3 linked regions of the Anolis sagrei genome follow. The main gene of each other region encodes a partner of the protein of the gene in region 2 in a complex. Links are inferred from orthologs where the notes say so. Each region holds a gene or a part of one and is shown on either strand. Other genes may lie near its edges. The genes, in order: POLE4, POLE3 and POLE2.

The links.
Region 1: POLE3 (region 2) and POLE4 share a complex: the UniProt entries of both Homo sapiens proteins name them as parts of the DNA polymerase epsilon complex. The link is inferred for Anolis sagrei from reciprocal best matches to the Homo sapiens genes POLE3 and POLE4.
Region 3: POLE3 (region 2) and POLE2 share a complex: the UniProt entries of both Homo sapiens proteins name them as parts of the DNA polymerase epsilon complex. The link is inferred for Anolis sagrei from reciprocal best matches to the Homo sapiens genes POLE3 and POLE2.

What each region holds. Positions count from the first base shown.
Region 1 is NC_090034.1:61,631,910-61,642,109, reverse strand, and holds the start of POLE4 (DNA polymerase epsilon subunit 4), read right to left. Parts: upstream 4,857-10,200; 5' UTR 4,834-4,856; coding exon 4,645-4,833; exon of another isoform or gene 4,621-4,644; intron 2,640-4,620; coding exon 2,555-2,639; intron 2,463-2,554; coding exon 2,421-2,462; intron 1-2,420. Other genes in the region: excitatory amino acid transporter 5-like, read left to right, coding at 10,192-10,200. UniProt on the Homo sapiens protein: Accessory component of the DNA polymerase epsilon complex. Participates in DNA repair and in chromosomal DNA replication.
Region 2 is NC_090031.1:15,838,626-15,849,448, reverse strand, and holds POLE3 (DNA polymerase epsilon subunit 3), read right to left. Parts: upstream 4,010-10,823; 5' UTR 3,991-4,009; coding exon 3,925-3,990; intron 3,833-3,924; coding exon 3,747-3,832; intron 2,212-3,746; coding exon 2,093-2,211; intron 1,987-2,092; coding exon 1,808-1,986; 3' UTR 1,334-1,807; downstream 1-1,333. Other genes in the region: C11H9orf43 (uncharacterized protein C9orf43 homolog), read left to right, coding at 6,331-6,493, 6,611-6,791, 8,626-8,725, 10,581-10,714. UniProt on the Homo sapiens protein: Accessory component of the DNA polymerase epsilon complex. Participates in DNA repair and in chromosomal DNA replication.
Region 3 is NC_090021.1:340,618,607-340,629,563, forward strand, and holds the start of POLE2 (DNA polymerase epsilon subunit 2), read right to left. Parts: upstream 5,779-10,957; 5' UTR 5,744-5,778; coding exon 5,676-5,743; intron 3,976-5,675; coding exon 3,875-3,975; intron 3,696-3,874; coding exon 3,620-3,695; intron 1-3,619. UniProt on the Homo sapiens protein: Accessory component of the DNA polymerase epsilon complex. Participates in DNA repair and in chromosomal DNA replication.

The sequences.
Region 1 (10,200 bases), on a different chromosome or scaffold from region 2:
AATTCAACCAAACATGGCATATGGGACTTCCATGACCAACAGAACACACTGGAAGGGTTCGGTGGGCATTGACCTTGAGTTTGGGAATTATAGTTCACCCACACCCAGAGAGCACTGTGGACTCAAACAACGATGGATCTGGACCAAACTTGGCACAAATATTCCATATGCCCAAATATGAACACAGATGGAGTTTAAGGGAAATAGACCTCAACATTTTAGGAGTTGTAGTTGCTGGGATTTATAGTTCACCTACAATCAAAGAGCATTCTGAACTCCACCAATGATGGAATTGAACCAAACATGGCATACAGGACTTCCATGACCAACAGAGCATTCTGAAACCCACAAACGACAGAAATGGGGCAAACTTCCCACACAGAACTCCCATGACCAACAGAGAATACTTAAGGCCATCCAGTCCAACTCTCTTCACCAGGGCAAGAAAATGTAATCAGAGCCCTCCTGACAAAGAGCCATCCAGTCATAAATATAGATAGATAGATATGATTCTCTCTCTCACACACAGATATGGTATCATAGATTTGAAAGAGACCCTTAAAGGAGGACTATGGTATGTGGCATGTTCCAGAGTAGGCAAACCAGACACTCTCCACATCAACACTGACAAAGAAACAACACGAAATACTGTTTACTCACAAGCAGAAAGGAATTACATATATTAGAAACCAACACTTTCTTATTAATTTATTTTCCAGATCACTAGACTGGGCCACAGCAACGCGTGGCAGGGGACAGCTAGTATATAATATAATATATTATTATAATCTAAAATAGACAAGACCAGAAGGTGAATAATGTGGCAGAGAAATAAACTGTCCAAACTATGTAATACATTTATGATCATCATCATAATCTAGACAATAGTATTAATTATGTGTTGTCGAAGCCTTTCGTGGCCAGAATCACTGGTTTGTTGTGAGTTTTCCAGGCTGTGTGGCCCTGTTCAGGAAACATTCTCTCCTGCTGTTTTGCCCACATCCATGGCAGGCACCCTCAGAGGTTGTGAGGTCTGTTGGTAACTAGGAAAATGCGGTTGATATATCTGTGGAAAAATGTCCAGAGTGGGAGGCAAGAAAACAGGGGAATTCCAGACAGGAAACAATCAGGTCTAGCTATCACCTCCCAACCAAGGATTCCCCAGGCAGGAAGCAGCCAGACTTTGAAGCTGTAAGGTCATTCAATGTTAATCAAGGTGGCCAATTGCAACATTCACTCTTGCCTCAAGCAGACAAGAGTCCGTTCTCCCACCCTGGACATTATTCCACAGGGGGTGCCTCCAGGCAACAAAGGCCAGGCTCCCTCTATGCAGATTCCCCTCACTGATTGATTTTACAGGTCATTTAATGCTACTTACGTTGGCCAATGGCAACATTCACACTTGCCTCACACGGACAAGGGTTCTTTCTCCCATCCTGGACATCATTCCACAGGTATATATATATATAAACCCAGAAAATGTTAACCATTTCCGCTACCTTGGCAGCCCCCTCTCCACCAAAGTCAACATCGACACCGAAATACAACACCGCCTGAGCTCTGCAAGTGCAGCATTTTCTCGAATGAAGCAGAGAGTGTTTGAGGTCCAGGACATCCGTAGGGATACCAAGGTGCTTGTCTATAAAGCTATTGTCCTCCCAACCCTGCTCTATGTCTGCGAAACGTGGACTGTCTACAGACGTCACATGCAACTCCTGGAACAATTCCATCAGTGCTGCCTCTGGAAAATCCTGCAAATCTCTTGGGAAGACAAGCGGACAAACGTCAGCGTGCTGGAAGAAGCAAAGACCACCAGCATTGAAGCGATGGTCCTCTGCCATCAACTCCGCTGGGCCGGCCACGTTGTCTGGATGCCTGACCATCGTCTCCCAAAGCAGTTGCTCTACTCCGAACTTAAGAATGGAAAACGGAACGTTGGTGGACAGGAAAAGAGATTTAAAGATGGCCTCAAAGCCAATCTTAAAATCTCTGGCATAGACACTGAGAACTGGGAAGCCCTGGCCCTTCAGCGCTCCAGCTGGAGGTGAGCTGTGACCAGCAGTGCTGCAGAATTCGAGGAGGCATGAGTGGAGGGTGAAAGAGAAAAATGTGCCAGGAGGAAACCAATGCCTGGAAACCAATGCCTTCACCGTGGGAGAAGATGCGGGTCAAGAATAGGGCTCCACTGCCTCCTACGAATCCACAAAGAAACCCATCATGGAAGACCATCTTACTCGTCCAACGAGGGATCGCCTAAGTAAGTAAAGTAAGTAAGTAAGTAATATATAAACCCAACTTGCCCAGTTTCCAACAGACCTCACAACCTCTGAGGAAATGACAGGAGAGAATGCTGCTGGAACATGGCCAGGCAGCCCAGGAAACTCACAGCAACCCAGTATTGACTCCAATGGGCCGCTTACCTTCCAGGAAGGCAAATTCGTCCACGGCTTCAATGGCGTTGTCTGCAGGTGAGGCATAAAACAAAAATGGAATTAATAAGGAGGTATTATTATTATTATTTCTGTATTATTATTATTTCTGTATTATTTCTCACCCAAGTCCTTCCTCTGGAGGGTCTTCCTCTTGCCTTGCTGGGCAAAGATGAAGGCGTCCTTGGCAATGGTCTCCACAAACAGCTCCTGCAATATATATAGAGAGAGATAGAGATTGTTATTATATAATATTTGTATTATATTATTTATTATAGCATCATGATACATTGTATTATTATCTATGTATAAAAAATGCTCTATTCGTTTTGAGTGACATCCTAACTCAAAATCCGCAATTATGCTGCCAAATTTGGCCACAAGACACCTACTAATGCAAGGAGTTATCATCACTGAAAAAATTGATTTTGTCATTTGGAAGTTGTAGTTGTTGGGATTTATAGTTCACCTACAATCAAAGCGCATTCTGAACTCCACCAATGATGAAACTGAGGGTTTGGTGGACACTGACCTTGAATTTGGGAGTTGTAGTTCACCTACATCCAGAGAGCACTGCGGACTCAAACAATGAAGGATTTAATGTATTGTCGAAGGCTTTCATGGCTGGAATCACTAGGTTCTTGTGGGTTTTTTCGGGCTATAGAGCCATGTTCTAGAGGCATTTCTCCTGACGTTTCGCCTGCATCTATGGCAAGCATCCTCAGAGGTAGTGAGGTCTGTTGGAATTAGGAAAATGGGTTTATATATCTGTGGAATGACCAGGGTAGGACAAAGGACTCTTGTCTGTTGGAGCTAGGTGTGAATGTTTCAACTGACCACCTTGATGAGCATTTGAAGGCCTGGCTGAGCCTGGGAAAATGTTCTGTTGAGAGTTGTTAAGATGTGCCTGGTTGTTTCCTCTCTGCTGTTTTGCTGTTGTAATTTTAGAGTTTTTTAATACTGGTAGCCAGATTTTGTTCATTTTCATGGTCTCCTCCTTTCTGTTGAAATTGTCCACATGCTTGTGGATTTCAATGGCTTCTCACAAACTTGTCATGAATACTCCATATGCCTGAATATGAACACAGATGGAGTTTGGGGGAAATAGAGATTTGAGAGTTGTAGATGCTGGGATTTATAGTTCCCCTACAATCAAAGAACCCCACAAATGGTAGAATTGGGCCAAACTTCCCACACAGAGACACCCATGACCAACAAAAATACTGTGTTTTCTGGTGTCCTTTGGTGAGCCTTATGACACCCCCTATTTAATAGAATACCAAGCTTGAAAACTTTGTGTTCTGTTTGTTTGTTAAAAAATGAAACACAACTGTTTGGTCTGCTCCTGACACGATAAATAAATAACCCAGTGATTCCGGCCATGAAAGCCTTCGACAATACAATAAACATGCAATTCTTCAAAAAGTGAAAACTGATGAACCAGCCTGGACACAGTATATTATTTGAGAACACAGAAGTGCTGGACCACTCTCACAACCACCATGTCAGACTACACAGAGATGCCATTGAAATCCACAAGCATGTGGACAATTTCAACAGAAAGGAAGAAACCATGAAAATGAACAAAATCTGGCTACCAGTATTAAAAAACTCAAAAATTACAACAGCAAAACAGCAGAGAGGAAACAACAAGGCACATCTTAACACCTCTCAACAGAAGATTTTCCCATGCTCAGCCAGGCCTTCAAATGCTAATGAAGGTGGTCAGTTGAAACATTCACACCTAGCTCCAGCAGGGAAGAGCTCTTTGCCCCACCCCAGCCATTCCACAGATATATAAACCCTTTTTCCTAATTCCAACAGACCTCACTACCTCTGAGGATGCTTGCCATAGATGCAGGCGAAACGTCAGGAGAAAATGCCTCTAGAACATGGCCATATAGCCCGAAAAAACCCACAAGAACCTAGTGATTCCAGACATGAAAGCCTTCGACAATACAGTGAAAACTTTCCCAAACTTTTCAAGGAAAGCACGCGCGCCCCCTGTTGGTGAAACAACGCCACCCTCTCTTCAGCCACGCCCCCTGCACCCTGGTATTGGCCACGCCCACAGCGGCGAGATTGGCCAGCATTAAAAAGCGCGCGGGGGTAGCCACGCCCACACGCAGTCTCCGCCTACCGGGAGCAAACGAACGCTCTGATTGGCCAGGCGATTGCCCCCTTCCACCCCTCGCATGCGCAGTCTCAGTCTCACCGTAGCGCGGGCCAAGATGAAGACGGCTTCTTGGCTGGCGAGGCTGACATCCGGGTCGGCTTTGACCAGCGCTTTCACCCGGGACAAAGGCAAGCGAGCCGGGCGGGCCGTTGCGGTAGTGGGTGGCGCCTCCGGTTCTTCGCTGGGAAGCGCCGCCGCGACATTTACCTCAGGAACCGCTGCTGCCATGTTGGCCGCTACTGCGCCTGCGCCACGCGGTACGCAAATCAAGGCCTCAGGCCCCGCCTTCATGCCGCGGGAAGCCACGCCCCCTCTGCCCGGCTTTCACTGGCCCTTCCCGCCAAAGCTCTCTAGGGGGAGTCAGAGAGCTCTAGGGAAGAAAAAGATCACAATAATAATTATATACCCTAACATAGAATATTAATATAATAATAAATATAATAATATAATATATATATATATATATATATATATATATATGCATAACACCATATAATATTAATATAATAAATATATAGTAAATATAATTACTTTATCGTTTATCAAAGAATCAAAGAGTTGGAAGAGACCTCATGGGCCATCCAGTCCAACCCCATTCTGCCAAGAAGCAGGAATATTGCATTCAAATCACCCAGGACAGATGGCCATCCAGCCTCTGTTTAAAAGCTTCCAAAGAAGGAGCCTCCACCACACTCCGGGGCAGAGAGTTCCACTGCTGAACGGCTCTCACAGTCAGGAAGTTCTTCCTAATGTTCAGATGGAATCTCCTCTCTTGTAGTTTGAAGCCATTGTTCCGCGTCCTAGTCTCCAGGGAAGCAGAAAACAAGTTCGCTCCCTCCTCCCTGTGGCTTCCTCTCACATATTTATACATGGCTATTATATCTCCTCTCAGCCTTCTCTTCTTCAGGCTAAACATGCCCAGCTCCTTAAGCCGCTCTTCATAGGGCTTGTTCTCCAGACCCTTGATCATTTTAGTCGCCCTCCTCTGGACACATTCCAGCTTGTCAATATCTCTCTTGAATTGTGGTGCCCAGAATTGGACACAATATTCCAGGTGTGGCCTAACCAAAGCGGAATAGAGGGGTAGCATTACTTCCCTAGATCTAGACATTATGCTCCTATTGATGCAGGCCAAAATCCCATTGGCTTTTTTTGCCGCCACATCACATTGTTGGCTCATGTTTAACTTGTTGTCCACAAGTTAAACTCCAAGACTCCAAGATCTTTTTCACACGTACTGCTCTTGAGCCAGGCATTGTCCCCCGTTCTGTATCTTTGCATTTCGTTTTTCCTGCCAAAGTGGAGTCTCTTGCATTTGTCACTGTTGAACTTCATTTTGTTAGTTTTGGCCCAACTCTCTAACTTGTCAATAATAATTATATACCCTAACATAGAATATTAATATAATAATAAATAATATAATATATGTATAACACCGTATAATATTAATATAATAAATATATAGTAAATATAATTACTTTATCATTTATTTATCGTGTCAGTATCAACCAGATAATTGTATTACATTTTTAACAAATTTTAACAAACAGACAAAACAGAGTTTGCAAGCTTGGTAGTTGATTAAATGTCCTTTGACCAGTATCTGACCACTTGGAGTGCCTCTGAAGTCGCCCAGTCTTCTGTGTGCCCAGGGGGGAGTCTCTCATTTGGTATCAGCCATTGATTCAGGTTCTGGGTTTGAGCCTGCCACTTTTGGACTCTCGCTTGCTGAGGTGTTCCAGCGAGTGTCTCTGTAGATCTTAGAAAACTATTTCTTGATTTAAGTCGTGCTGGCTGATACCCAAACAAGGGATGAGCTGGAGATGTCTCTGCCTTGGTCCTTTCATTATTGGCTGCTACTTCCTGGCGGATGTCAGGTGGTGCAATACCGGCTAAACAGTGTAATATCTCCAGTGGTGTAGGGCGCAGACACCTCGTGATAATGCAGCATGTCTCATTAAGAGCCACATCCACTATTTTAGCGTGGTGAGATGTGTTCCACACTGGGCATGCGTATTCAGCAGCAGAGTAGCACAGCGCAAGGGCAGATGTCTTCACTGTATCTGGTTGTGATTCCCCAGTTGTGCCAGCCAGCTTTCGTATGATATTGTTTCTAGCGCCCACTTTTTGCTTGATGTTCAGGCAGTGCTTCTTGTAGGTAAAAGCACAGGCCAGAGCGACTCCCAGGTATTTGGGTGTGCTGCAATGCTCCAGTGGGATTCCTTCCCAGGTGATCCTCAGAGCTCGGGATGCTTGTATGTTCTTGAGATGAAAAGCACATGTCAGTATTTTTGATAGGTTAGGGATCAGCTGATTTTTCCTGTAATAGGCAGTAAGGGCACCTAGAGCTTCGGAGAGCTTCTGTTCAACCATCTCAAAGCTCCCTGCTTGAGCAGTAATGGCACGATCATCAGCATAGGTGAAGCTCTCTGTCCCTTCTGGCAGTGACTGGTCATTTATGTAGATGTTGAACATGGATGGAGCAAGCACGCTCCCCTGAGGCAGGCCGTTCTTCTGTTTCCGCCATTTGCTTCTCTGGCCCTGGTACTCAACAAAAAAGCTCCTGTTTTGTAGCAGGTTTCCTATGAGGCGGGTGAGGTGTTAGTCCTTTGTGATATTATACATTTTTCTCAGGAGGAGGCGGTGGTTCACAGTATCATAGGCTGCTGACAGGTCTATGAAGACAGCTCCTGTAATCTGCTTTATCGTAATATAATAATATAACACCATATAATATTAATTAATAAATATAGCAATATAATAATATAATGATATAACATAGAAGATGGAGAGGCATAGAGCTCTTGGGAAGAAGAAGATAATAATAGTGATATAATAACATAGAATTATTAATATAACAAAATTAATAATACAGGTGTATAGTGACATAGAATAGGGGGAGACAGGGAGGTATAGAGAAGAATATAACAATGATAATATAGTAACATAGTATAGGTAAAGGTAAAGGTTTCCCCTGACATTAAGACTAGTCATATCCAACTCTGAGGGGGTGATGCTCATATTGTAATATGACAACACAAAGTATTAATATAATGGTATAATAATAATACATATAGTAATATAATTATAATAATAATAATGAAATAATACAATATAACGCTCCCTAATATTATTCAGTGCATCCCTCCCTCTATTATTATTATTATTATTATTATATAAAGTGCATCTCTCCCTATTACTATTATGCAGAGTGCATCCTTCCCTCTTTATTATTATTATTCAGTGCAACCCTCTCTTTATTATTGTTATTATTATTATGCAGAGTGCATCCCTCTCTATTATTATTGTTGTTGTTATTCAGAGTGCATCCTTCCCTCATTATTATCATCATTATTATTATGCAGAGTGCATCTGTCATTATTATTATTCAATGCATCCTCCCTTCATTATTATATTATTATTATTATTATGCAGAGTGCATTCAGTCCAACCCATTCTGCTAAGAAGCAGGAAAATCACATTCAAAGCCCCCCCCCCCCCCCCCACAGATGGCCACCCAGCCTCTGCTTCAAAGTCTCCAAATAAGGAGCCTCCATCATACTCCAGGACAGAGAGGGAGAGAGTTCCACTGCTGAAAAGCTCTCTTTCACCGTTAAGTTCTTCACAGTGCATCCTTCCCTTATTATTATGCAGTGTATCCTTCTCTATATTATTATTATTATTATTATTATTATTATTAATATAGTGCAGAGTGCATCCCTCTTTTTGCAATATTATTATTGTTATTATTATTTCCCCTCATTGGGATTGCCTCTGAGCATGTGCAGAGTGCATCCCTCTCTGATATGACAGGATATAAATAAAGATGATGATTAGGTTCTTGTGGGTTTTTTCGGGCTATAGAGCCATGTTCTAGAGGCATTTCTCCTGACGTTTCGCCTGCATCTATGGCAAGCATCCTCAGAGGTAGAGGTCTCTACCTCTGAGGATGCTTGCCATAGATGCAGGCGAAACGTCAGGAGAAATGCCTCTAGAACATGGCTCTATAGCCCGAAAAAACCCACAAGAACCTAGTGATTCCAGCCATGAAAGCCTTCGACAAAGATGATGATTATTTGCCATGTGCAGAGTGCATCCCTCTCTGATATGATGAGGATTACTATTACGCAATTGCACCTCTCCATTGTTGTTGTTGTTGTTGTTGTTATTATTATTATTATTATCCACCCTTGGGTTGCCTCTGAACATGTTCAGAGTGCATCCTTCTCACAGTGACAAATGCAAGATATCCCATTCAGGCAGAAAAAAATGAAATGCACAGAGACAGAATGGGGGATGATGGCTAGCTCGACAGTAGGACGTGGGGAAAAGACCTTGAAGTCCTCGTGAGGAGGAAGGGGAACATGAGCCAGGAATGTCATGCAACAGCTTGAAAAGCCAATGGGATTTTTGCCTGCATCAAGAGGAGTCTAGTGATCCAGGGAAGTCATGCTACCCCTCTCTTCTGTCTTCATCAGACCACTTTGCCTGGAATCACACTGTGTCTGATTCTGGGCACCAAATTGAAGGGAGATGTTGACTCTAAGCTGGAATGTGTCCAGAGGAAGAGGGCGATTCAAAGGATCCAGGGTCTGAAGCCCTATGAGGAGCGGCTGAAAGAGCCGGGCATGTTTAGCCTGCAGAAGAGAAGGCAGAGAGGACACATTATGAGGGCTGTGTATAAATATGAGGGGAGAAGTCATAGGGAGGAGGGAGCAAGCTTGTTTTCTGCTGCCCTGGAGACTATGACGCAATGGAACCATGGCTTCAAACTACAGGAAAGGAAGGAGATACCACCTGAACATGAGGAAGAACTTCCTAACTGTGAGAGGTGTTCAGTAGTGGAACTCTCTCTCTGCCCTTGATTGTGGTGGAGGCTCCTTCTTTGGAGGCTTTGAAGCAGAGGCTGGATGGCTATCTGTCGGAGGCTTTGAAGATGATATTCCTGCTTGTTGGCAAAATGGGATTGGACTGTGTGGCCCACCAGGTCTCTTCCAATTCACATGACCTTGGAGGTGTCTACGGACAACGCTGGCTCTTCGGCTTAGAAATGGAGATGAGCACCACACCCCAGAGTCAGACATGACTGGACTTAATGTCAGGAGACTACCTTTACTATGTTGTTGTTGTTGTTGTTGTTGTTGTTGTTATTATTATTATTATGCAGATTTCACCCCTCCCTCTCTGATATTATTGTTAGTGTTGTTATTATTATGCAGATTTCATCCCTCTCCATTCTTCTTATTCTTACTCTTCTTGGCCATGTGCAGAGTGCATCCCTCTCTCCGTCCTTCCCCCATTGAGATCTATATTTGACCGCCTGCCTGCCCTGCCAATCCCTTAAGACTAAGACCTTTGTTTTTCCCGCAGGGACAGGACTTATGACAGTGCCTCCTTCGCCCAAAGCCGGCTCAAGACGTCACTCTCCCCTTAAGCCCAAGGGGACAGCAAGGAAGGCTCGGGAGCCCAGAAAAGAAGGAAGGAAAGGGAAGGAGAGGAGGGTGTCGCTGGAGCATGCTTCCTCTGGTGGGACGGCAGGCTCCCCAATGATGCCCCGCAGAGCCGTCCCCCTTTGCGGAGAGCGCCATGTGGGAA
Region 2 (10,823 bases):
TGCGTGCATGCGGGTTTCGTCAGCCCAACTCTTGACTGCTTGTGCAAGTTTCTGGACACACCTCTCCCCCACCCTTTGGAGAAGGTCCCAATGCTGATCCTGACTTTTCACACACTCCCACACCCAAATCCCCAGGTGAGAACTCCCTTTGGGTCGCCTTCAAGGGCCTGTTCCATAATAGCAATGGGTTTGGGAGCCCCTTCCTCTCAAAGCCCTGCTCCAATACTTGCCTTGTACAGGACAGCAAATGGCAGGGGATCAGGCAGGCAAAGACTTTCCCTTCTTCTCTTCCACTTTCCCAGCAGCCCCTGCATAAGCACACCCCTTGGACTGCATAACCACTCCCTCCTGATGCCCATACTCTCTCCTTAAAGGGCCAGAAGCATGGTTTGCCCACTGCTGCCATCTCCTGGGTTAAGAGTGGAGTTTCTACGGCAGTGTTTTGCAACCTTCCTAATGCCACAACCCCTTGATACCCTTCATCATGTTGTGGAGACCCCCAACCATAATATTTTTGTTGCTACTTCATAACTGTCATTTTGCTACTGTTACGAATCGTCATATAAATATCTGATATGCAGGATGGATTTCCATTCACTGGACCAAGTATGGCACAAATACCCTATACGGTCGCCCACATTTGAATACTGGTGGGGTTGTTGATTTTGTCATTTGGGAGTTGTAGTTACTAGGATTTATAGTTTGCCTACAATCAAAGCGCATTCTGAACTCCACCAATGATGGAATTAAACCAAACGTGGCGCTCCCATGACCAATAGAAAATACTGGAAGGGTTTGATAGGCATTGACCTTGAGTTTGGAGTTGTAGTTCACCTACATCTCAAGGGCACTGTGGACTTAAACCACTGTTTCTCAACCAGGGGGTCGGGACCCCTGGGGGGGGTCACGAGGGGATGTCAGAGGGATCCCCGAAGACAATCAGACCGGCATAAGTGAGGGAACACTGTATTGCTACAGAGAGGCTCTTCCTGGCAGGTCCTGGCAAGGAAACCCTCCTCCTCTCAGGCTGCGAAGGGCAGATTGTGGCTCTTATAATAATAATAATAATAATAGTAATAGTAATAATAATAATATTTTTAATACCCTGTCATCATCTCCCCAAGGGATTCAGAGAGGCTTACATGAGGCCAAGTCCAACAACACATCAATAAAACCAAAAGCAATAAAAGCAATAAAAACAATACAATTAATATAAATCACATATAAACAATAAACAGTAACAGTAACAAGGCCATCGCAGCTTTTTTTGGGGGGGGGGGAACATCTCCAGCTGACTGTCCCCGTCACATCTAAAACACAGAAATCAGTAGAGTTCTGAAGTGATTCAGCACCTTTATTGAAACACAAAAATGAGACTTAGATACTGGAAATACAACAGAATGGTCAGAGCAGTGAACTCTGGGAAAAACAAAATGCCCAAACCTTCTTGCCCCAAAGAGAAGGCACATTGTGAGAGAAGCAACTTGGGAGGAAGAAAGGAGGCCCAAGCCAAGGGCTGCCCATTCCCCAATGCCCCCTCCCTTCATGTTACCCATTTTTGCCCCCCAAATCCAACACCAGGCATGACCCCAGGAGCCCTAAAAGATCCTTTTATGGGATCAAGACACACTGTTTTGCATATAAAAAGCTGTCCAGAAGTCTGTGGGAAGACGGGGGCTCTTTAGCAAGACTACAGCACTAGGAGTAGCTGGAGGGAGCCTGAGACTTCGGTGTGGTGCCTTCCAGCCAAACAGTGGCCGCAGCTTGAGGGAGTCCTTTGGCAGGAGGCAATGGATCCTGTGCTGCCTCAGCCCTCCTCCTCATTCTCCTCTTCCTCCTCGTTCTGCTCCTCCTCCTCCATCATCCTCTCCTCCTCATTCTCCTCTTCCTGGCTCTTTTCGGGGTCTTCAGAGCCCTCCTTCTTGTCTCGGTCCTTCTTTTTGAGCTCCAAGGCGCCTCTTTTCCCTTTTTGCTCACTCCTGTAAGCTGAAAGGACAGGGAAAGGTTACAGCAGGATCGGGGGCACCTCGGACCAAGACAGAATCAGGAAGCCCAGCAGACTCGGCACCCTGAATGCTGGGGCACACACTACCTTCTAAGGACTCCTTCAACGGGGCGAGGAACCTCTGGAACTCCATCTCCTCCATGGCCGAGAGCACGTCCCCCGCGTTCAGCGTCTTCCGCTTCCCCTTCATGGCAAAATTGTTGGCACTAATGGCAGAGAGGGGCAGAAAAGAGGGAAAGGAAAACCATTTTTGTCTCTAGTTAAATACTGTCACTAAGGAGGCTGTGCAGGTCCTGAATCAGTGCTTGGCCGCTCTGTCGGTCTGGATGAGGGCAAACAGATTGAAACTAAATCCAGACAAGACAGAGGTACTCCTGGTCAGTCGAAAGGCCGAACAGGGGATAGGGTTACAGCTTGTGTTAGATGGGGTAATAATAATAATAATAATAATAATAATAATCTTTATTTATACCCCGCCACCATCTCCCCAATGGGGACTCGCAGTGGCTTACATGGGGCCAAGCAAAACATGTTACAGCAAAATAAAACCAGAACATAAACAACAAGCAACATCATCAAAATTACATAGAAAAAAAGTATAAACACAGTAACAAAATAACATTCCAATAAACACCATCACGATAACAGTGGGCGGGCCAGATGTACAGGATAAAATGATTAAAAAACTCTAATGAGAGAAAAATAGGAGCAGGTTCTCTAAGCCATTCCGTGTTTCAAACTTACATAATTCCATATTTGTCTATTGCCCTGCATTTCCAAAAACCTGTTCAGAGCGCCAGGTTTTTACTTTTTTCCAGATGGTCAGGAGGGAGTGGGCTGATTTAATACACCCAGGGAGGGAGTTCCATAGCCGAGGGGCCACCACTAAGAAGGCCCTGTCTCTCGTCCCCGCCAATCATGCATGTGAAGAAGGCAGGACTGAGAGCAGGACCTCCCCAGACAAAAGGAAAGGGCCTGAGGCTGTTAGGAATTGTGGGAGTTGAAGTCCAAAACACCTAGAAGGTCCAAGTTTGCCTAAGATATAGACTTAGATCCTCTTGGACCCTCTATGTTTTGGCTCTATATTGCCCTGCATTTCCAAAAACCTGTTCAAAGCACCAGGTTTTTACTTTTTTCCAGAAGATCAGGAGGGAGGGGGCTGATCAAATATACCTAGGGAGGGAGTTCCATAGCTGAGGGGCCACCAATGAGAAGGCCCCATCTCTCATCCCCGATAGTCATGCATGTGAAGAAGGCAGGACTGAGAGCAGGACCTTCCTAGACAAAAGGAAAGGGCCTGAGGCTGTTAGGAATTGTGGGAGTTGAAGTCCAAAACACCTCGAGGGTCCAAGTTTGCCTAAGTCTGATATAGAGGCTTTGGCTCTATATTGCCCTGCATTTCCAAAAACCTGTTCAAAGCGCCAGGATTTTACTTTTTCCAGACGGTCAGGAGGGAGGGGGCTGATCTAATATACCTAGGGAGGGAGTTCGATAGCTGAGGGGCCACCACTAAGAAGGCCCTGTCTCTCGTCCCCGCCAATCATTCATGTGAAGAAGGCAGGACTGAGAGCAGGACCTCCCCAGACAAAAGGAAAGGGCCTGAGGCTGTTAGGAATTGTGGGAGTTGAAGTCCAAAACACCTCGAGGGTCCAAGTTTGCCTAAGTCTGATATAGAGGCTTTGGCTGGCACAGGAGGGGTGAATGAGTCTATTGAGCGCTTCCTCCCTCGGCTAGGCCTCACCAGGACGTGGCGTAGAGCACGAAGACGCTGGCTGCCCGGGACACAGCGCTCCGGGCCTCTTTCGAGACGTTCACGCCGTCGGGGAGCTGCAAAGGGAGAAAGACAAGAGGGTCAGGCGGACAGGGGACGAAGCTAGCCCCCTTCCTCCTCCTCCTCCTCCTCCTTCCCCGGGACTCACGGCTTCTTTAATGATCCGTGTGACCACGGCATTGGGCAAGTTCAAGTCCTCCGGCCGCTCGGCCATAATGCCGCAGGCCTCAAAAGCCTTCCCTCGAGTAAGAGCCGAGCTCTGGGCATGCGCAGAACCTCCGAAGCCGCGCGCCAAAGCAAAGCAGCCGCCTCTCTCAAGCTCTCTTTCTGGACCCGGAAGTGGTGAGTTTGCCGCCGCGCGGTGCACACTGGGAAACCAAGCCGCGCGTTGCCCAGCAACGGAAGGCCTTCCCGCTTTCGGAGGCGCAAAGCCTCCTTCGCCTTGAGCGGGCTGAGGATCACGTGGAATGCGCTGTTAACCTCCACACTGGCGAAGGAGAGGCCTCTGAGCATGCACAGAGTGCTCCCAACCCCTCAGAATGTACGTTAGGAGGAAAAGTCAAGGAAGATATTGATAAAAGATGGAAGGGGTCCAGAGAAGGGTGACCAAAATGGTCAAAGAATTGGAAACCTGTGAGGAGTGAAAGTTAGGGATGTTTAGTTGGATACAAGATGGCTGTGGGAATCAAGGGTCTGGAGAACAAGCCCTATGAGGAGCGGCTGAAAGAGCTGCAGAAGAGAAGGCTGAGAGGAGTCAGGATGAGGGCCATTTATCAAGATGTGAGGGGAAATCATGGAGAGGAGGAAGCAGGCTTGTTTGTTGGTGGTCAGAGCTGTTCCACAGTGAAATATGTTTCCTTGGAGTCTGCTCTCAAGGTTTTTAAGCAGAGGCTGGATGGCCGTCTCTTGGGAGTGCTTTGAAGTCCTTTATAGTCGAAGGGGGTTGGACTGGATGGCCCTGAGGGTCTCTTCCAACTCTAGGATTCTTTTGATATGTGTATGTGTGTGTGTCAAACATATCTCTTTCTCGGCCTTCTATCTATGGCTGGATGGCCACCTGCCAAGACAGTTTGGATAGTGCCTTTTTAGGTTGGACTGGATGGCCTTTGAGATCTCTTCTCTCAACCATATAATAGCCAGTGTTGTCGAAGGCTGTCACGGCCGGAATCACTGGGTTGCTGTGAGTTTTCCGGGCTGTCTGGCCATGTTCCAGAAGCATTGTCTCCTGTGTGTTTCGCCCACATCTATGACGGACATCCTCAGAGGTTGAGAGGTTTGTCATGGCCATCTGTCAGGAGAATTAATTAATTATTTATTTATTTCGGGCATTTCTACCCCGCCCTTCTCACCCCCTAGAATTTGGATGGTGCCTTCCTCCCTGGACAAAGGGGGCTGGACTAGATGGTCTTTGGGGTCTCTTCCAACTCTAGGATTCTATGATATGTTAATAATATATATATATATATATATATATATATATATATCTCCAGTGTGTGTGTGTATATATATATATACATACACACACACACATATATATACATACACATATACATACATATACACCACATCTGTGTATCTACTCTCTCTCAACCATATCATCTATGGCTGGAGGGCCATCTGTCAGGAGGGCTTGTATGGTGCCTTCCTGCCTGGCCAAAGGGGGATAGACACTAGATGGTCTTTGGGGTCTCTTCCAACTCTAGGATTCTATGATATATTAATCATTATACACACACACAGAGCATGTGCAGTATGGCTAGATGGCCATCTGCCAGGAGGGTTTGTATGGTGCCTTCCTGCCTGGCCAAAGGGGGATGGACTAGATGGTCTTTGGGGTCTCTTCCAACTCAAGGATTCTATGATATATTAATCATTTTATATACATATACACACACACAGAGTATATACAGTATATATAGTATATATATACACACACACACATATATATATACATGTACCACATTTATGCAACTACTCTCTCTCTCTCAACCATATCATATCTATGGCCAGATGGCCATCTGTGAGGAGGGTTTGTATGTTTTTATATTGTGTAAATGCTATTTTAAATTGTGCTAATTAAGAAATAAAGTGAAGTGAAGTGAAGTATGGTGCCTTCCTGCCCGGCCAAAGGGGGCCAGACTAGGGGGTCTTTGGGGTCTCTTCCACCTCTACGATTTTATGATATATTAATCATATCCATCTATCTATCTATCTACCTACCACATCTGTGTATCTACTCTTTCTCACTCATATCTATTGCTGGATGGCCATCTGTCAGAAGGGTTTGTATGGTGCCTTCCTACCTGGCCAGAGGGGGGATGGACTAGAGGATTCTATATAGAAATTTTTCAGCCAGGAGAGAGATTTCACCGACCGTAGATGTTCTCTGAGTCCTAGATAAGGAAGGCTCGGCATCCAACAGACCTCGAAGGACCTTGAGGAGTCATTGTTGGTGTGTCGTTCTAGAATATAACCCTGGGAAATCCTCTTGCTTATACTGGGTTCTTTTTGCTATTTATGTGCAGTAATGTGACATTGGGACAGAGCGGCCAGGATGGTGGGAGTAGATACCAAACAATGGGACGAGACCATTTGCGACATGATGCCTTGCCAGCACCCTCTTTGCTGGGAGACGCTGCGGAGGATTGAAAGTGGGCACCCCCGGATAGTCTTGGGGGCCCTGGCCTCCCCTGAGAGAGAGTCTCCAGATTGTGAAGGTAATCCCACCTTCCGTATTGCACCTGGAGCCTGGAGGGAGGAGCCTCTTCCTTCAGGGACAATGATCCTGTTCCTTTTGAGCCTGGTTTTGTGACTGTGTTTTCCGCACATTTCAGGTGAGCTGCCCACACTGAAAATCATAGACCTTCCTCTCAATTGCCCTCAGAAACAGGGAGTCAAGTGCAGCAAAAGCTACAGTTCCGTTTCCAAAACTGTCTCCCGTACGAAAGACACCAGAAGTTATTTTTCAAATTGTACCCCGAATGATACTTGGATACCCCCAGTCTCGGTAATGAGGTTAGTCACAAACTCAGCATTTGGGATGGCAGTGCATAGGGATTTACACTTTTCTGATGTGCCACACACATCCTAGGAAACTAGATCCACTTTTTAAAGGGCCCTGAATGCATTTTGGTGCCCAATGCAACTCATCCAGTCCTTCCACTGATATGCCCAGCTGGCAGTGGGGTCCAGTGTGTCTGGACAAGGCGGTTGGATGAAGTGAAGCTTCATAACAAAATTCCCTAGCTTTGTGAAGGGTCTGGATATTATTATTATTATTAATAATAATAATAATAATAATAATAATTTTTCTTTATATTTTTGCTCTATCTTCCCTGGGAGGATTCAGGGTGGTTTCCAAGCAACAACATCAAAACATAGAGTCACAACATGTACAAAAAAATAACAGTAACAGCAACATAAGCATGGAATTACCTAACAACACATAAATATTAAAAGAAAAAAAATCCTGCCTGCTCTTCATGTCTATTTGTTAGGGCATGGAAAAGGAATGGGTCAGGACAATTAAAAAGGCTGGATCAAGACTGATACAAATTGAAATAAGATGGGACCGGCATTTGAGTACAGTACTGTAATAATAAATAAAATAATAAAATAAAACTTTATTTATACCCCGCCACCATCTCCCCAAGGGACTCAGAGCGGCTTACATGAGTCCAAGCCCAACAATACATCAATAAACAAAAGCAATAAACAAAAACAATACATACAATACAGTTAATATAAATCACATATAAACAATAAACAATAACACACAAAGATTTAAAAACCTATGGCCGGGCCAAATGTAATAGTTTAAAAAATAATGCTGGGCATGAACAAGGTAGGATATAACTGGTATAGGGTTTTCAGAGAGAGATGAGGGAACGCAGTCAATCTCAAATCAGTGGTAAAGTGCATTTTGAGGGCATATTGCTGAGAATTTTCCTTATTCTGGGAAGGCACACTGGAACAACCACGTTTTCAGGCTCCTCCTAAAGACTGTCAGAGTTGGGGCATGCCTGATGTCCTTGGAAAGTGAGTTCCAGAGTTGGGCCATCACCGAGAAGGCCCTCTCCCTCGTCCCCACTAATCGCACCTGCGAAGGAGGTGGGAGCGTGAGCAGGGCCTCTCCAGATGATCGAAGAGATTGTGTGGGTTCGTACACAGAAATGCGGTCACGACAAAAGCGGGGACATGTTATTTGCAGGGGCCTGTTAGGAGAATGACCAGGGAAATAAATAGGGGGCTAGGTCATGTTCGGACAGTGTCTGGGCTGAGCTAACACTGATCACTTAAATCACCAAGTCATCAAATCTTATGAAAAGAGAGGAAGGATGGGGCCTATCTCATTTCCCTTGGAAGGGCATTCCAGAGGTGGGGAGGCACCACCGAGAAGGCCCTCTCTGTCGTCCCCACCAACCGTGCTTGTGACGGAGGTGGGAGCGAGAGGAGGGCCTCCCTGGAGGATCTTAGAGTTCGCGCCGGTTCATAGATGGAGATGCGATCGTGAAGATAGGTGGGCCCCGAACCGTTTAGGGCTTTATAGGTCATTACCTACACCTTGAATTTGGCTCGGCAACTTGTCGGCAGCCAATGCAGCTGTTTTAATAGGGGCGTAGTATGCTTCCTATAGTTTGCTCCAGTAAGGAGCCTGGCTGCTGCCTGTTGTACCAGCCCCACGTAGAGCGCATTGCAATAGTCCAATTTATGTGTTATTCATTGAATTGGGTCCTCGGCTCAGCGCTGTGTGCAGCCATAAGCCCCAGAGTTAGATGTGCCACCTTGCTTTGTACCTGCTTGCCTTGCCTTTTCCAACATGGCTTCTGCTCTCTTGTCTGCCCTCCAGTTCTGAAAGGAATCCCTTCCCAGGGCTGAACTCCCGGATGGATTCTCACACCCCGCACCTCTCACCATTCAGCTTTAGCTGCTCGAGGCAACTCGAACAAGTGAGTTAAGGGCAAAGGAGAGCGGGGGGGGGGGGGGGAGTTTGGGATCCCCTCGGCCTGCAAGGTTCAACCCTGCCCGGTTTGCTGGTTTGTCCCAAGCTTCTCTTTGAGCCCACACCAAATCAAAAGGGACTCGGGTGGAAAGAAGAAGTGGGTTCACGCTCCACAACGGCTGCTGGAGCAGTGTGTCCAATAGAAGAAACATCCCTAAGCTCCTGCTGTTATGCAGAAGTACAGATCAGTTGGGATGGTGAAGAAGGATGCTCATCATTGCTAGTTATTATAGAAAATCATGACCTTTTAGAGACCGTAAACTTTTAGAGAAGAGGTAAAATCCTGTTTGAGTAGAATCTTCTCAAGTGGTATACAACCAAATGTAATTATGCAAGGCACTAGTGTTCACATGTGAGCATATCGAGTATTTGTGCCAAGTTTGGTCCAGATCCTTCATTGTTTGAGTCCACAGTGCTCTCTGGATGTAGGTGAACTACAACTCCAAAATTCAAGGTCAATGCCCACCAAACCCTTGCAGTATTTTCTGTTTGTTATGGGAGTTCCATGTGCCAAGATTGGTTCAGTTCCATCATTGGTGGAGTTCAGAATGCTCTTTTATTTTAGGTGAACTGTAAATCCCAGCAACTACAACTCCCAAATGTCAAGGTCTATTTTCCCCAAACTTCACCAGTGTTCACATTTGGGCCTATTGAGTACTAGCAGTCCCCTGCCATGCGTTGCTGTGACCAGCCTGTGTATATGTATTTTGTGTGTGTATATATGTGTGTATATATTTGTGTATATGTGTATATATGTGTGTTTGTCTATATATGTGTGTTTTTGATCATGTGTTTTAATTTATTTTTTATTTTTTGGCTTTTTAAGTCTCTTCTGCTGTGTTTTTCAGTGTTTTATGAGTGGTGGTCACTCGTTGGCCTGATAGGTGTGTTGTGTCCAAATTTGGTGTCAATTAGTCCAGTGGTTTTTGAGTTATGTTAGTCCCACAAACGAACATTACATTTTTATTTACATGGATTTCTGCCAAATTTGGTCCAGATCCATCATTGTTTTGAGTTCACAGTGCTCTCTGGTGTCAATTAGTCCAGTGGTTTTTGAGTTATGTTAGTCCCACAAACGAACATTACATTTTTATTTATATGGATTTGTGCCAAGTTTGGTCCAGATCCATCATTGTTTGAGTCCACAGTGCTCTCTGGATGTAGGTGAACTACAACTCCAAAATTTAAGGTTAATGCCGATCAAAGCCTTCCAGCATTTTCTGTTCATTTTGGGAGTTCTGTGTGCCAAGATTGGTTCAGTTCCATTGTTGGTGGAGTTCAGAATGCTCTTTGATTGTAGGTGAACTATGAATCCCAGCAACGGCAACTCCCAAATGACAAAATCAATCCCCCCCTCCCCCCCCAGCCCCACCAGTTTTCAAATTTTGGCATATTGGGTATTTCTTCCCAATTTGGTCCAGTGACTGAAAATATATCCTGCATATCAGATATTTACATGACAATTCATAACAGTTAGCAAAATTGTAGTTATGAAGTAGCAACAAAAATAATTTTATGATCAGGGGTCACCACAACATGAGGAAATGTGTTAAGGGATCATGACATTCGGGAGGTTGAGAAATGCCAACCTCCCAAATGCCAGGGAGACAACCCCTTCTTCTCCTCCTTCTCCTCTTGGCCCACGTACTTGACAAGCACTAAGATATCAGATAAATTCACAAAAGCATCTGAAAGAGCATTGTGTGTCTTCAGAAGTCTTGGCCATGGTTCTCTTGTGGCTTTCTTCTGCAATAGAGCCTTTCTATGCTGAGCGCCCTGTCCTTTCCAATGTACCTTGGCAGATACAGGTGATGGATATCTCTGAATTGGCAGCCCAGAGATTGGGCTGTCAACTTCCCTATGGAAACCTGGTGGTCCAGTGGATTCCATCCAAGTGGCCCAGTCGTCTGCAGTCCAAGAAGTCACCTGTGAAAGCGTAAGTAGCAGGCCTCCCTGGCAGATTACAATCCCCCCCCCCCCATGTGTATGAGAGCTCACCATTCCCATCTTGAGAAAATTCAGTTGTTCTTGTTGCCATAAAAAGG
Region 3 (10,957 bases), on a different chromosome or scaffold from region 2:
ACTGACAGTGATTAACTGGTCCTGATTGTTTCTTGTCTGGAATTCACCTGTTTTTGAGTGTTGTTCTTTATTTACTGTTATGATTTTAGAGGTTTTTTTTTTTTTAAAAAAAAAACACTAGTTGCCAGATTGTGTTCATTTTCATGGTTTCTTCCTATCTGTTGAAATTGTCCACATGCTTCTTGTGGATTTCTGTGACTTCCCTGTGTAGCCTGACATGGTGGTTGTGAGAGTGGTCCAGCATTTCTGTGTACTCAGATAATATGCTGTGTCCAGGTTGGTTCATCAAGGGCTCTGCTATGGCTGACTTCTCCGGTAGAGCCATACAGACTCACAAGTTCTGAGGATGTCTGCCATAGATATATATGCAATATAATACTAATAATAGTATTTTTTTTTGTCGTGTCAGGAGAGACTTGAGAATCTGGTGTGAGAGAATTGGCCGTCTGCAAGGACGTTGCCCAGGGGACGCCCGGATGATTTTGATGTTTTTATCATCCTTGTGGGAGGCTTCTCTCATGTCCCCGCATGAGGAGCTGGAGCTGATAGAGGGAGCTCATCCACACTCTCCCCAGATTCGAACCTGCGACCTGTCAGTCTTCAGTCATGCCGGCACAGGGGTTTAACCCACTGCGTCACCGGGGGCTCCAATAATAGTAATATGATATTATAATTATATATTTATATTACATGTAATATTACTAATAATATTACAATGTAATGGTATAGTACAATATAGTAATATTTAATACTGATATTGTCCTATGCTAATAATATAATATGTTGTAGTTCATTCGTTCAGTCGTCTCCAACTCTTCGTGACCTCATGGACCAGCCCACGCCAGAGCTCCCTGTCGGCCGTCACCACCCCCAGCTCCTTCAAGGTCAGTCCAGTCACTTCAAGGATGCCATCCATCCATCTTGCCCTTGGTCGGCCCCTCTTCCTTTTGCCTTCCACTTTCCCCACCATAATTGTCTTCTCTAGGCTTTGCTGTCTCCTCATGATGTGGCCAAAGGACTTCCACTTTGTCTCTCATATCCTTCCCTCCAATGAGCAGCCGGGCTTTATTTCCTGGAGGATGGACTGGTTGGATCTTCTCGCAGTCCAAGGCACTCTCAGAACTTTCTTCCAACACGACAGCTCAAAAGCATCTCTCTTCCTTCGCTCAGCCTTCCCTCAGGTCCCGCTCTCACATCCGTAGGTGACTACAGGGAAGACCATGGCTTTGACTAGGCAATGGATCTTGGTTGCCAATCTGATGTCTCTGCTCTTTACTATTTTATCGAGACTGGACATTGCTCTCCTCCCAAGAAGGAAGCGTCTTCTGATTTCCTGGCCACAGTCTGCGTCTGCACTCATCATTGCGCCTAGAAATACAAAGTCTGTCACGGCCTCCACGTTTTCTCCCTCTATTTCCCAGTTGTCAATCATTCTTGTTGACATAATCTTGGTTTTTCTGATGTTTAGCTGCAACCCGGCTTTTGCGCTTTCTTCTTTCACCTTGATTAGAAGGCTCCTCAGCTCCTCCTCGCTTTTGGCCATCAGAGTGGTGTCATCTGCATACCTGAAGTTGTTAATGTTTCTTCCAGCAATTTTCACCCCAGCTTTGCATTCCTCAAGCCCCGCACATCCTCACATGATGTGTTCTGCATACACGTTAAAAAGGTTGGGTGAGAGTATGCAGCCTTGCCGGACGCCTTTCCCAATCTTGAAACAGTATATATCTCTTGCAAGCCACTCTGAGTCCACTTCTGGGTGAGAAGGGTGGCATATAAAAGTCGTAAACAAACAAATAAATAAATAGATGCAGGTGAAACGTCAGGAAAGAATGCTTCTGGAACATGGCCAGCCTGGAAAACTCACAACAATCCAATGATTTTGGCCATGAAAGCCTTCACTAATCCAAAGACAACATTATTTGAACAATAAACTCCCAAACTTTGGATTTGCAGGAAATTCTGTCAACCCTCTCTACATTATTTAGCTGCTCATGCAAAAAAATCAATGAATGGATGCCATATTAATACTGACATTACACTACACCACGTATGGGCAAACTTCAGCCCTCCCTGCAGGTGTTTTTGGACTCTCACAACTCCTAACAGCCTACTGGCTCTCACAAGTTATTGTGGGGGTTGAAGTTCAAAGCACCTGGAGAAAGGGCAGAAATTTCCCCATTTATTTGTCGTGTCAGAGCAACCAGTCCATTATATATTACATTTCTAACAGAACAAAGCAAACAGACAGAAAAATACACATCTTGTGAGTTTGGTAGTTGGTTAAATGTCCTTTGACCAGTATCTGGCCACGTGGAGTGCCTCTGGTGTTGCTGCAAGAAGGTCCTCCATGGTGCATGTGGCAGGGCTCAGGTTGCATTGCAGCAGGTGGTCAGTGGTTTGCTCTTCTCCACACTCGCATACCGAGGATTCCACTTTGTGGCCCCATTTCTTGAGGTTGGCTCTGCATCTCGTGGGAGTCTCTCATTGGGTATCAGCCATTGGTTGAGGTGCTGGGTTTGGGCCTGCCACTTTTGGACTCTTGCTTGCTGAGGTGTTCCAGCGAGTGTCTCTGTAGATCTTAGAAAACTATGTCTAGATTTAAGTCGTTGGCGTGCTGGCTGATACTCAAACAAGGGATGAGCTGGAGATGTTTCTGCTTTGATCCTTTCACTATTGGCTGCTACTTCCCGGCGGATGTCAGGTGGTGCAATACCGGCTAAGCAGTGTAATTTCTCCAGTGGTGTAGGGCGCAGACACCCCGTGATAATGTGGCATGTCTCATTAAGAGCCACATCCACTGTTTTAGCGTGGTCTGATGTGTTCCACACTGGGCATGCATACTCAGCAGAAGAGTAGCACAGCGCAAGGGCAGATGTCTTCACTGTGTCTGGTTGTGATCCCCAGGTTGTGCCAGTCAGCTTTCGTATGATATTGTTTCTAGCACCCACTTTTTGCTTGATGTTCAGGCAGTGCTTCTTGTAGGTAAGAGCATGGTCCAGAGTGACTCCCAGGTATTTGGATGTGCTGCAATGCTCCAGTGGGGTTCCTTCCCAGGTGATCTTCAGAGCTCGGGATGCTTGTCTGTTCTTAAGGTGAAAGGCACATGTCTGTGTTTTAGATGGATTAGGGATCAGCTGGTTTTCCCTGTAATAGGCAGTAAGAGCACCTAGAGCTTCGGAAAGCTTCTGTTCTACCATCTCAAAGCTCCCTGCTTGAGCGGTAATGGCACGATCATCAGCATAGATGAAGCTCTCTGTCCCTTCTGGCAGTGGCTGGTCATTTGTGTAGATGTTGAACATGGATGGAGTGAGCACACTCCGCTGAGGAAGGCCGTTCTTCTGTTTCTGCCATCTGCTTCTCTGGCCCTGGAACGCAACAAAAAAGCTCCTGTTTTGTAGCAGGTTTCCTATGAGACGGGTGAGGTGGTCATCCTTTGTGATAGTGTACATTTTTCTCAGGAGGAGGCGGTGGTTTCCCCATGCCTGGTGTACATGAATATTAATGACACTAAAATCTGAAATATCAGCCAATCAAAGTAATGGAAGTCAACAAGACAATCAACCAAACTAGACTGCATCAAAAGCTCCTGCTTGTTTGAAGTAAACGAATGTAAACATACATGGTTTCGTCTACAGACTGGCTGCACTCCAGGACGGCTGCTTCCACCATGGACTTTTCAATCATGTTACATGTCACTGAAAAGAAGAATGTAAAAATACAAAATGGTTTCCTATGTAGTTATTGAGGAGCACGCTTAAAAAGCTTATGACAAAACCTAGTTTACAATCACAAATCCCATCAGAAGCCACAGAAACGTTAAGTATCCCACCCTTTCCTTCTTAAACCATTGTAGAAAACAGACGGCATTACTTACAAGGCTGTTTTTCAACAGCGTCGATTATATTTTCTATCATGTCTTCCAGCTCAACTTCATTAGCTGTTTGAAGAGCTTCTGTGAGATATTTAGCAGCTTCACTAACGGAAGAGAGAAGAAGAAGAAATACCCAAAGTGTGAATAACCTGTCAGTCTAGTTGTCATTGTGTGCATCTACAGTGCAGATTTATGGCAGATGATGATGATGATTATTGTCGAAGGCGAAATCCACAAGCATGTGGACAATTTCAACAGATTATTAAACTAGGTAATGACATGATCTGCTTGGAACAGGATTAAGTGAGTGTACACTGCTATATAATCCAGATTATTAAATTAGATAATGACATGATCTGCTTGGAACCGGATTAGGTGAGTCTACACTGCCAAATAATCCAGATTAGTAAACTAGATAATGACATGATCTGCTTGGAACCGGATTATTTGAGTCTACACTGCCATATAATCCAGATTTTTAAAACAGATAATGACATAATCTGCTTGGAACAGGATTAAGTGAGTCTACACTGCCATATAATCCAGATTATGAAACTAGATAATGCCACGATTTGCTTGGAACCAGACTACATAAGTATACACTGCCATATAATCCAGATTAGTAAACTAGGTAATGACATGAGCTGCTTGCAACCGGAGTAAGTGTGTCGACACCGCCATATAACTCAGATTATAAAATTAGATGACATGATTTACATGAGTCTACAGTGCCATATAATCCAGATTACTAAACTAGATAATAACCTGATCTGCTTGGAACAGGATTAAGTGAGTCTACACTGCCATATAATCCAGATGATTAAAATAGATATTGACATGATCTGCTTGGAACTGGAGTTCATGAGTCTACACTGCCATATAATCCAGATTATTAAACTAGGTAAATGACGTGATCTTCTTGGAACTGGATTGCATGACTGTACAATCCAGATGATTAAACTAGATAATGACATAATCTGCTTGGAACAGGATTACGTGAGTCTACAGTGCCATATAATCCAGATTATTAAACTAGGTAATGACATGAGCTGCTTGCAACCGGATAAGTGTGTCTACACCGCCATATAATCCAGATTACAAAATTAGATGACATGATTTACATGAGTCTACAGTGCCATATAATCCAGATTACTAAACTAGGTAATGACATGATCTGCTTGGAACCAGATTGTGTGAGTCTACAGTGCCATATAATCCAGATTATTAAACTAGGTAATGACATGATCTGCTTGGAACCGGATTACATGAGTCTACAGTGCCAAATAATCCAGATTATTAAAACAGATAATGACATGATCTGCTTGGAACTGGAGTACATGAGTCTACACCACCAAATAATCCAGATAAGTAAACTAGGTAATGACATGATCTGCTTGGAACTGGGGTACATGAATCTACACTGCCATATAATCCAGATTATTAAACTATGTAATGACACAATCTGTTTGGAACCGGATTAAGTGAGTCTACACCGCCACATAATCCAGATTATTAAACTAGATAATCTCATGAACCATTTGGAACTAGATTGCATGATTCTAGGCTGCTTTCCTTCAGTATTGCCCAAGATCTGCCTTTCCATGCCTTTGGACCCCATTTCCCAGAATGCCATCTCCTTAGCCTAAGTGGCAGAGGCTTCTGGGAAATGAAGTCCAAAAGCACTTGGGGCTTAGAGATTGGCCTTGACTGAGCCGTAGATCTTCTCTCCTCCACGAAGGCCTTCCTCGCTTGCCACGGCCACGAGAGAGGCGCCCACCCGACCCCGAGGAAAGGGTTTACTCACGCGCGGAGCAGCAGGCCGTGCATCTTGAAGGCGGCGCCCACTTTCCCCCTCAGCTTCTCCGCCGCCATTTTGGAACTTTGGCGCCAACGGTGAGGCCCCGCCCCTTTCCCCGCCCCTTTCCTGACAGGCCCCGCCCCCTTGTGGTAGAAAAGCGGGTTCCTAGTCTTGAAACTCCCAGAAGCCTCAGCTGCTTTGACCAATGAGGAGGCATCCTGGGAAATAGAGTCCCAAGTACCTGCAAACAGAGTTTTGGGAAACTTTGGTTTTATTCTTCACTGAGGAAGGAAGGAAGGAAGGAAGGAAGGAAGGAAGGAAGGAAGGAAGGAAGGAAGGAAGGAAGGAAGGAAGGAAGGAAGGAAAGAAGGAAGGAAGGAAGGAAGGAAGGAGAAGGAAGGAAGGAAGGAAGGAATTAGAAGGAAGGAAGGAAGGAAGGAGAAGGAAGGAAGGAAGGAAGGAGGGAGGGAGGGAGGGAGGGAAGGAAGGAATTAGAAGGAAGGAAGGAGAAGGAAGGAAGGAATGAATTAGAAGGAAGGAAGGAAAGAAGGAAGGAAGGAAGGAAGGAGAAGGAAGGAAGGAGAAGGAAGGAATTAGAAGGAAGGAAGGGGAAGGAAGGAAGGAAGGAAGGAAAGAAGGAAGGAAGGGGAAGGAAGGGGAAGGAAGGAAGGAGAAGGAAGGAAGGAAGGAAAAAAGGAAGGAAGGAAGGAAGGAAGGAGAAGGAAGGAAGGAAGGAGAAGGAAGGAATTAGAAGGAAGGAAGGGGAAGCAAGGAAGGAAAGAAGGAAGGAAGGGGAAGGAAGGAAGGAAGGCGAAGGAAGGAAGGAAGGAGAAGGAAGGAAGGAAGGAAGGAAGGAAAAAAGGAAGGAAGGAAGGAAGGAGAAGGAAGGAAGGAAGGAATTAGAAGGAAGGAAGGAATTAGAAGGAAGGAAGGGGAAGGAAGGAAGCAAGGAAGAAAAGAAGGAAGGAAGGAAGGGGAAGGAAGGAAGGCGAAGGAAGGAAGGAAGGAAGGAAGGAAGGAAAAAAGAAGGAAGGAAGGAAAGAAGGCAGGAAGGAGAAGGAAGGAAGGAGAAGGAAGGAAGGAAGGAGAAGGAAGGGGAAGGAAGGAAGGAGAAGGAAGGAAGGGGAAGGAAGGAAGGAAGGAAGGAAAAGGAAGGAAGGAAGGAAGGAAGGAAGGAAGGAAGGAGAAGGAAGGAAGGAAGGAAGGAAGGAAGGAGGGAGGGAGGGAGGGAAGGAAGGAATTAGAAGGAAGGAAGGAGAAGGAAGGAAGGAATGAATTAGAAGGAAGGAAGGAATTAGAAGGAAGGAAGGAAAGAAGGAAGGAAGGAAGGAGAAGGAAGGAAGGAGAAGGAAGGAATTAGAAGGAAGGAAGGGGAAGGAAGGAAGGAAGGAAGGAAAGAAGGAAGGAAGGGGAAGGAAGGGGAAGGAAGGAAGGAAGGAGAAGGAAGGAAGGAAGGAAAAAAGGAAGGAAGGAAGGAAGGAAGGAAGGAGAAGGAAGGAAGGAAGGAGAAGGAAGGAATTAGAAGGAAGGAAGGGGAAGCAAGGAAGGAAAGAAGGAAGGAAGGGGAAGGAAGGAAGGAAGGCGAAGGAAGGAAGGAGAAGGAAGGAAAAAAGGAAGGAAGGAAAAAAGGAAGGAAGGAAGGAAGGAGAAGGAAGGAAGGAAGGAATTAGAAGGAAGGAAGGAATTAGACGGAAGGAAGGGGAAGGAAGGAAGCAAGGAAGAAAAGAAGGAAGGAAGGAAGGGGAAGGAAGGAAGGCGAAGGAAGGAAGGAAGGAAGGAAGGAAAAAAGAAGGAAGGAAGGAAGGAAGGAAAGAAGGCAGGAAGGAGAAGGAAGGAAGGAGAAGGAAGGAAGGAAGGGGAAGGAAGGAAGGAAGGAAGGAGAAGGAAGGAAGGGGAAGGAAGGAAGGAAGGAAAAGGAAGGAAGGAAGGAATTAGAAGGAAGGAAGGGGGAAGGAAGGAAGCAAGGAAGAAAAGGAAGGAAGGAAGGAAGGAAGGGGAAGGAAGGAAGGCGAAGGAAGGAAGGAAGGAAGGAAGGAAGGAAAAAGGAAGGAAGGAAAGAAGGAAGGAAGGAAGGGGAAGGAAGGAATGAAGAAGGAAGGAATTAGAAGGAAGGAAGGGGAAGGAAGGAAGGAAGGAGAAGGAAGGAAGGAAGGAAAAAAGGAAGGAAGGAAGGAAGGAAGGAAGGAAGGAGAAGGAAGGAAGGAGAAGGAAGGAAGGAGTAGGAAGGAAGGAGAAGGAAGGAAGGAGAAGGAAGGAAGGAGAAGGAAGGAAGGAGAAGGAATTAGAAGAAAGGAAGGGGAAGGAAGGAAGCAAGGAAGGAAAGAAGGAAGGAAGGAAGGAGAAGGAAGGAAGGAGAAGGAAGGAAGGAAGGAAGGAGAAGGAAGGAAGGGAGGAAGGAATAAGCTGTCAATCTAGTTGTCATTGTGTGCAATGCATCTACACTGTAGAATTAATGCAGTTTGGCACCGCTTTAACTATCATGGCAAAATGCTATGGAATCATGGTTTGGTGAAACAGGCGAAAGGCCTTGTTAAACTACAGCAGGACTCCACAGTCTTGAGCCATGGCAGTTCAAGTGGAGTCAAACTGGGTTAATTCCACAGTGTAGATGCTCCCTTGGTCTGAATTTCCATTAACTGCCATATAAATATATCTATTTCTCACAGTCTGGAGCCTTGTGGGGTGATAAAATAAAGCTGTATTGGTATTTATTATTATTATTACTAGTAATACTATATTTCCACACATATGTTTATGATTATTATTAGCATATTTGCATGCAGATGCTTATTAATATTATATTTTCATAGAGATTCTTGGTGCTCCGCCCTGAGTCCCCTCCAGTATGCTGATGACAACGTCGTCTGGGCGCATTCAGAAGAAGATCTACAAGCCACTCTAAACACCTTTGCAGAAGCATACGAGAAGCTCGGCCTCTCAATAAACATCGAGAAAACCAAAGTGCCGTTCCAGCAGTCACCAGCCAATCCCTCTCCAATGCCAGAAATACAGCTTAATGGTGTAACATTAGAAAATGTGGACCATTTCCGGCACCTTGGCAGCCACCTCTCCACCAAAGTCAACATCGACACCGAAGTACAACATCGTCTGAGCTCTGCGAGTGCAGTATTTTTCTGAATGAAGCAGAGAGTGTTTGAGGACCGGGACATCCATAGGGAGACCAAGGGGCTTGTTTATAAAGCTATTCCCCTCCCAACCCTGCTATACGCTTGCGAGACGCGGACTGTCTACAGATGTCACGTACAACTCCTGGAATGATTCCATCAGCGCTGCCTCCGGAAAATCGTGCAAATCTCTTGGGAAGACAGGCGGACAAACGTCAGTGTGCTGGAAGAAGCAAAGATCACCAGCATTGAAGCGATGGTCCTCCGCAATCAACTCCGCTGGACCAGCCACGTTGTCTGGATGCCCGATCACCGTCTCCCAAAGCAGTTGCTCTACTCCGAACTTAAGAACGGAAAACGGAATGTTGGTGGACAGGAAAAGAGATTGAAAGATGGCCTCAAAGCCAACCTTAAAAACTCTGGCATAGACACTGAGAACTGGGAAGCCCTGGCCCTTGAGTGCTCCAGTTGGAGGTCAGCTGTGACCAGCAGTGCTGCAGAATTTGAAGAGGCACGAATGGAGGACAAAAGAGAAAAATGTACCAAGAAGAAGGCACGTCAAGCCAACCCTCACTGGGAAAGGCTTCCACCTGGAAACCAATGCCCTCACTGTTGGAGAAGATGCAGGTCAAGAATTGGGCTCCACAGTCACCTACGGATGCACAAGAATACTGATCCTGGAAGACTATCCTATTTGTCCAACAAGGGATCGCCTAAGGTAAGGGTAAGGCTATACGCCTGTGAGAGGTGGACTGTCTACAGATGCCACTTTTGTGGGTGTTTATATGAAAGTCTGAACATCGGTATATTGGAGTTCTATAACAGATGTTGTTGTGACCTTGGTTTTGGCTTTCAGTCTGCTAAAGTTAAATAGCTTGCCATCTGTCCGACAGATGATTTCCACTCGGGAGTTTAGAGTGGCTTGTAGATCTTCTTCTGAATGCGCACAGACGACGTTGTCATCAGCATACTGGAGTTCTATAACAGATGTTGTTGTGACCTTGGTTTTGGCTTTCAGTCTGCTAAAGTTAAATAGCTTGCCATCTGTCCGACAGATGATTTCCACTTGGGTGTTTAGAGTGGCTTGCAGATCTTCTTCTGAATGCGCAGAGACAACGTTGTCATCAGCATATTGGAGTTCTATAACAGATGTTGTTGTGACCTTGGTTTTGTTTTTCAGTCTGCTAAAGTTAAATAGCTTGCCATCTGTGCCACAGATGATTTCCACTCCGGTGTTTAGCGTGGCTTGTAGATCTTCTGAATGAGCACAGACGACATTGTCATCAGCATACTGGAGTTTTATAACAGATGTTGTTGTGACCTTGGCTTTGGCTTTCAGTCTGCTAAAGTTAAATAGCTTGCCATCTGTCCAACAGATGATTTCCACTCCGGTGTTTAGAGTGGCTTGTAGATCTTCTGAACGCGCACAGACGACGTTGTCATCAGCATATTGTAGTTCTATAACAGATGTTGTTGTGACCTTGGTTTTGTTTTTCAGTCTGCTAAAGTTAAATAGCTTGCCATCTGTCCGACATTTGATTTCCACTCCGGTGTTTAGCGTGGCTTGTAGATCTTCTGAATGAGCACAGACGACGTTGTCATCAGCATACTGGAGTTCTATTACAGATGTTGTTGTGACCTTGGTTTTGGCTTTCAGTCTGCTAAAGTTAAATAGCTTGCCATCTATCTGACATTTGATTTCCACTCCGGTGTTTAGCGTGGCTTGTAGATGTTCTGAATGCGTACAGACGACGTTGTCATCAGCATACTGGAGTTCTATAACAGATGTTGTTGTAACCTTGGTTTTGGCTTTCAGTCTGGTGAGGTTCAACAGCTTGCCATCTCTCCAATAGATGATTTCCACTCTGGTGGGAAGCTTCCCATCAATAAGATGAAGTATCATAGTGATGAAGATGGAAAATAAGCTCTGAGGGGTTCAAGGGAGATAAGTCCTTCAAATAGCTTCTTGTATGCGTCTGTATTGAGAGTGGCTTGTAGGTCTTCTTCTGAATGAGCACAGACGACGTTATCATCCGCATACTGGAGTTCTATAACAGATGTTGTTGTAACCTTGGTTTTGGCTTTCAGTCTGGTGAGGTTCAACAGCTTGCCATCTCTCCAATAGATGATTTCCACTCTGGTGGGAAGCTTCCCATCAATAAG